2 linked regions of the Danio rerio genome follow. The protein of the gene in region 2 binds, or shares a complex with, the protein of the main gene of each other region. Links are inferred from orthologs where the notes say so. Each region holds a gene or a part of one and is shown on either strand. Other genes may lie near its edges.

Evidence for each region. Proteins that work in one complex are often made in the same cells at the same time.
Region 1: cnot11 (region 2) and cnot7 share a complex: the UniProt entries of both Homo sapiens proteins name them as parts of the CCR4-NOT complex. The link is inferred for Danio rerio from reciprocal best matches to the Homo sapiens genes CNOT11 and CNOT7.

The regions. Positions count from the first base shown.
Region 1 is NC_133189.1:34,922,470-34,926,134, reverse strand, and holds part of cnot7 (CCR4-NOT transcription complex subunit 7), read right to left. Parts: intron 2,645-3,665; coding exon 2,451-2,644; intron 2,354-2,450; coding exon of another isoform or gene 2,309-2,353; coding exon 2,147-2,308; intron 1-2,146. UniProt on the Homo sapiens protein: Has 3'-5' poly(A) exoribonuclease activity for synthetic poly(A) RNA substrate. Its function seems to be partially redundant with that of CNOT8.
Region 2 is NC_133184.1:58,597,309-58,600,576, forward strand, and holds the end of cnot11 (CCR4-NOT transcription complex subunit 11), read left to right. Parts: intron 1-293; coding exon of another isoform or gene 294-338; exon of another isoform or gene 339-1,792; intron 1,793-2,145; coding exon 2,146-2,343; 3' UTR 2,344-2,678; downstream 2,679-3,268. UniProt on the Homo sapiens protein: Component of the CCR4-NOT complex which is one of the major cellular mRNA deadenylases and is linked to various cellular processes including bulk mRNA degradation, miRNA-mediated repression, translational repression during translational initiation and general transcription regulation.

The sequences.
Region 1 (3,665 bases), on a different chromosome or scaffold from region 2:
CTTAGAACATCGGGACAAATGTTTAATTCCAGAAATTGTAAATAAATCTGAACAAAATATGAACCAATTTTCAAAAATGCTTAATCGTAAAATAAAATGCAAAATGTAAACATTGCACTTTCAAGATTACACCTTTCTCATGCTGCTAGTCATGTGTCCGTGTCCAATCCCGTAATGGTGTGTATTATTGCACTCATATCAACTATAAAAAAAATTACTAAAAGCAATGTATTTTTTGACATCACAAAATAAACAGTAGAGCATAATATGAAACTATATACTTTTTATTTTGTCCACATATACACTACCTGACAAAAGTCTTGTCGTTGATTCCAGTTGTAAGAGCAACTAGAGCAATTTCTAGTTGATCATTTGTAAAAGTGGCAGAAGGTAGATTTTTCCGATGAATTATCTGTTGAACAGCATCTCGATCTTCACATATACTACAGAAGACTTATTGGAACCTGAATATAGTCCAGATTCTCACAGGTATCAGTAAAGTTTGGTGAAGAAAAAATTACGGTTTGGGGTTACATTCAGTATGTGGGTGTGCGAGAGATCTGCAGAGTGGATGGCAACATCAACAGCCTGAGGTATCAAGACATTTGTGCTGCCCATTGCTTTACAATTCTTCAGCAGGATCACTCCTTCTCATACTTCAGCCTCCACATCAAAGTTCCTGAAAGCAAAGACGGTCAAGGTGCTCCAGGATTGGCCAGCCCAGTCACCAGACATGAACATTATTGAGCATGTCTGGGGTAAGATGAAGGAGAAGGCATTGAAGATAAATCCAAAGAATCTTGATAAACCTGAGTCCTGCAAGAACGCTTTCTTTGCGATTTCAGATGACTTTCTTAAGTTATTTGAGTCATTGCAGAGATGTGTGGATGAAGTCCTCTAAGCTCATGGGAGTCATACACAATATTAATTCTTTTCCACTGCACCATGACTTTATATTCTATACTGTACAATATTTCTGTAAGTTTTGTCTAAGCAAAGTCAGACCTTACTGTCCTAATTAAATAATTAAAAGTTAGGGGTGATCGTATTTTATTTTGGTAAAATGAGCGTAATCTAGAGGCCTTTGCCTTTCATTTAAGCCACTTGAACTACTAGAAATCAAGTTATTATTTGTTTTTCCTAAAACTTGGATAAGCGACATGACTTTTGCCAGGTAGTTTATATACAGTTGAAATCAAAATTATTAGCCCCCTGTTAATTATTTTTCTTTGTCAAATATTTCCCAAATGATGTTTAACAGAGCACGGAATATTTCACAGTATTTCCTATAATATTATTTTCTTCTAGAAAAAGTCTTATTTGTTTTATTTCAAAGCAGCTGATTTTTAAAAATCCATTTTAAAGTCAATATTATTATAAGCCCCCTTAAGAATTTTTTTTTTGACAGTCTACAGAACAAATCACTGTTATACAATGATTACCCTAACTCACGAAATAACCTTTAATAAGCATTTAAATTGCACTTTAAGCTGGATGGTAGTGTCTTAATAAATATCTAGTAGAATATTAAGTACTGTTATCATGGCAAAGATAAAATAAATCAGCTGTTAGAAATACACTGTTAAAACTATTCATTCATTCATTTTCTTGACGTCCCTTAGTCACTTTATTAATCCGGGGTCGCCACAGCGGAATGAACCGCCCACTTATCCGGCAAATTTTTTTTTACGCAGCGGATGCCTTTCCAGCCGCAACCCATCTCTGGAAAACACCCACACACACATTCACACACACACTCATACACTACGGACAATTTAGCCTAACCAATTCACCTGTACCGCATGTCTTTGGACTGTGGGGGAAACCGGAGCACCTGGAGGAAACCCACACGAAGGCAGGGAGAACATGCAAACTCCACACAGAAACGCCAACCGAGCCGAGGTTCGAACCAGCGACCCAGCGACCTTCTTGCTGTGAGGCGACAGCACTACCTACTGAGCCACTGCCTCGCCTGTTAAAACTATTATGCTTTGAAAGAAAAACTCTATGTTAAATAGAAATTGTAGAAGAAAATATACAGGGAGGGATAATAAGAAAGCAGGGCTAATAATTCTGACTTCAACTGTATATATCATCATACTGCACAGGCCTAGATTTCTGTATGTAAATGTTACAGTGAGATTACCTATGGAATGAGAGCCATTTGACCCCTTCACAAAGCACCACACCTGAGGTCATGAGCAGCTCAGCAAAATACATTGTCTCAATACCCTCCTCCTCATGCTTCTTAAACTGGATACCCGACGACGTGAGCAGCTCTATGGAGTCCTGTGCATACATGTCTTCCCTGAAAAACACAGGCCAGCTATCAGAAGGTATCACACAGATACACCTGAAGACAAGGAAAGTCATCCTTGTCATCTCTCTTTAAAACACGATGCTCTGATAAAAAAAAAAAAAAAGAGCGTTATACAAAGTGCAATTCTTACGTGAGGTTAAATTTAAAGTTGAACTGCCATGTCGATGTCCCTGGTGGGTATTCGCCCTGTTCGTTCATAAATGTAAGGCCAAGCTGGATGATCTTTAACAAGTCCACGTTACACCGCAGCAGCTGGTACTGGTAATCTGCATTGCTTCGAAATTCTCCGATTGGTCTCGCTACTACACCTGGAAACTCTGTGTCCTACAGATGCAACAAAACGCATGATGGTTGTCATGGGGATTTGCATATTTATAGTCGAGGTTATAGTTAAATACAAAAAGGGGCTTTGCTGGGGATTTTTCAAAATATTAATCTTTATTAAGAAGCCTTTGAGGCTAATATAAGAAAAAAAAATTGCTTTTAGATTTTTTATTCAAGTTATTTAGTTTTATTTTTAATAAGCTTGTGCTTCATCCCACTCCCCTTTGAATTATATTTTAAGTGTATATGCATAAGTAAATATTTTTGTTGATTATGATTTATTATAGTATGGTATTTTTTGAAGAATTGTTTTAAATATGTGATATTCAGTTTAAAAATACATGATAGAATCAAATAAATAAAAATTTAAAACTCCTTTAATGAAAACTTTTGTAATTTTTTTATTTTAATAAATGTTTATCTAAAAATATATTAAAATTGTTTGCATTTTTTTCATAGATTTAGTTTGTTAGCAATAATATTAGAACCAAAGTTTAGCCTTCATGATGTATTGTCATTTACAAAGAGCAGTAGCATCTACAGCTGTCTATCTATCTATCTATCTATCTATCTATCTATCTATCTATCTATCTATCTATCTATCTATCTATCTATCTATCCATCCATCCATCCATCCATCCATCCATCCATCCATCCATCCATCCATCCATCCATCCATATATATATATATATATATATATATATATATATATATATATATATATATATATATATATATATATATATATATATATATATATATATATAATATAATAGTAATTAAATAGTATAATGCTGTATAATGACAAATACATATGATAGTAAAATCACCAGCAGGTGGCAGCAAGTAAAGGTTCACTGAGTTGTTCGATTAAGCCAGGGGTTCCCAAACATTTCAGCCGGCGACCCCCAAAATAGCAATTCCAGTGACTTGCGAAACCCACTACCTTATTTTTTTTTAATCCTTTTATTCCTATTTTTTTTTAATATATGCAAGTGCCATAAAGGTCACAATTTAACA
Region 2 (3,268 bases):
GGTTCTCAAACGGTTTTTCATCAAGTACCACCTCAGAAAACAATTGTCTCTCCAAGTACCACCAAAATGAGCAGCATTGAAATACAGTAGCGCAGTAGGTACAGTAAAGCAGCTACAACTCTGCACAGTTAAAAAACGTGGCAGATTACCTCAGAAATATAGGCTATATGTCATACATGGCATAATATATACATCATTTTTGATCAATTTTGTAATGTGTGTAGCATGTACATGACATATTTCATTCCTCCGCGTACCACTAGAAGAAAGCCTGCGTACCACACGTACCACAGTTTGAGAACCACTGTTCTAAAATTATTATTGATTTGATTGATTAATTGTTGATTATTATTGATTATTAATTTAAATAATAATGATTCTGTTCATCACGTACACGTAAACAAAATGTTAAATTGTTAAATACTTATTACAATTTTAAATAACTGCTTTCTTACTGTATGTAGTTTCAAATGAAATTATTACCCCATTCATTATTGCATTTATTACTATTACCATTAATAATAATAATTAGGGGTGTAACGATACACTCAGCTCACGATACGATGTGTATCACAATATAATGTTCACGATTCGATATGTATCACGATATAATGTTCACGATTCGATATGTATCACGATATTTGGAATAAAAATTGAAAATTAAACTGAAATGCAAATTTTACCAAGTAAACTATTTTTATGTATTTCTTTTGTTTCAACTTGTTAAACTGAACCTTCTTTAAGAAAATAAATGAAACAGGCCTGTCTCTGGAAAATAAAACAATTAAAAAACTTCTTAAAAAATATTATTGAAATGACAGAGACAAAATTAAGGAACAATTTAAGTAAAGGTGCAAAAAAAATAAGCTTTCTATTCAATTGAATTTAACAGTAAGAGCTTAAGGCTTTACTTGGTCACTTTCGTTTTTTGTGTGTGCAATGAAAATCCACATTTCCAGGTATTAATTCATATTTAATTAAATTCATTTAGAGATATCTCTAATTACAATTGTGACTAATCAAAACTCATTTAGAGATATCTGAAAATATTTTTCAATGGAGGAATATGACTAGTCATAATATATTTGCAGATATCTCCAATCTGATTTCGTACTAGTACAATTGTAATTGCAGATATCTCTAATTGTCATTCTGACTAGTCGAATTATAATTATGACTAGTCAAAATATAATTAGAGATATCTCTAAATATATTTATGGATAGTCAGAACAAAGGTTTAAATGCTAAAACTGCTTGCCATACGCGCGCGTCTATCAGTCCGCCCTCTGTAGTAACTCACGGTCAGCTCACGTCATGTGTGATTTTGCGGCGGGAACATTATATGAAGACAGAATGATATTTTAGGGTGAATTGTACCTTATAAATACAGTATGTGACTCTTTCAACACCATTAGGAGGTATCCCTGTCGCTGTGCAAAGTATGTAAATCACTGTGAAGACTTTAAAACTTAGGATGTTTGACCCAGTATGCGTGTCAAAAAGCGGACGAGTCTAAAGCAATGACTGTACAACCGAAATGTTGCCAGACGTCTGATTTTGAGAGGATGGGCCATCCTCTATTTCAACTCCACTCATCTTGGTCTGCTAACATTACTGCTGCTGCAATCTGAACTCACGTGCGACAGCAGGTGGAACGTAGCTCACGTGCAAACAGCTCAACTAATAAGAGAAAACGGACGTCATATCGTAATCTAATCGTCATAACGCCACCATGCATATCGAGACATTTTTGCATCGCAATAAATCGTACAACGATAAATCGTTACACCCCTAATAATAATAATAATAATAATATTATAATAATAACAGTAATAATGATTAATATCAGAGTGACTTGTGAAGGATCATGTGACTCTGAAGACTAGCTAAAAAATCATCATTAAATCACTGGAATATATGATTAAATTAAATGATAAACCACTGTTGAGCACTTCTTTATTTTATTATGCAATAACATTTCACTATTTTACCATCTGTTCTGTATTATTGATTAAATAAATGCCAAACTTTAGACCAGTAGTGTATGTGTGTGTGTGCATATGTATATGTGTGCATATGTGTGCATGTATATGAGTATGTGTGTGTGCGCGTGTCTGAATATTGTTGTGCTTGTGTGTCCTGCAGAACCGTCTGGTGCGTCTGGTCTGTGTGTTCCTGCAGTCTCTGATCCGCAATAAGATCATCAACGTTCAGGATCTGTTCATCGAGGTTCAGGCCTTCTGCATCGAGTTCAGCCGCATCCGTGAGGCCGCAGGGCTGTTCCGGCTCCTCAAGACACTCGACAACGGAGAGACGCCGGCCGAGGGCAAGACCAGCAAATGATGGAGCGCTTCCTGAACACACACACCGCTGAACTGATCTGCTTTATGCTTTTTATTTATGTGCAGGAGTCGTGCAGAAACAGCCTGACTGTGCTAAATCTCCATGAAGACGAGCATTCACTGATGACTGAGGTATGATGATGACGACTCCTGTAGTCATGGCTCATCACTGACTCAGCGTTTTCATATTCGCTCAACCAAAACTCTGCAGATTCAGTATTTGGGAATATGGCTTTCAGTAACTCTGAGAGTGTCTGAGCTGAATCCTTTATTAACGGCGCTCAGTAACTCCATTTCATTTGTGTATATTTTCTCAATAAACAACGTTTCAAAGCAGCTCTTCAGAACATCTCTGAGAATGATTGGTGGAATTTCAGCCACATTTACAGGATATACATTATTTATTTTATATATATATATATATTTGTGGTGTAACGGATCACGTATCTCATGGTAGGGCTGCTCGATTTTGAAAAAAATCATAATCACGATTATTTTAAACGATTATCAGTTGAAGTGAAAATTATTAGCGCTCCTGGGAATTTAGTTTTTTTAAATAACTATTTCCCAAATTATGTTAAACAGAGCAAGGAATTTTAACAGTATTTCCTCTAATATTTTTTTTCTTATGGAGAAAGGCTTATTTTTTTATTTTAGCTTGAAAAAAAGCAGGTTTAAATATTTTGAAACCCATTTTAAGGTCAATATTATTAGCCCCCTTAAGCAATATATGTTTGATTGTCTGCAGAAGAATCTACTGTTATACAATGACTTGTCTCATTACTCTGATTAAGCCTTTGAACTGCACTTTAATCTGAATGCTTGTATTCTAAAAAACATCTAGTAAAATGTTATGCACTGTCATCACAGCAAAGATAAAACAAATCAGTAATTAGACATGAGATATCAAAACTATTGTGTTTAGA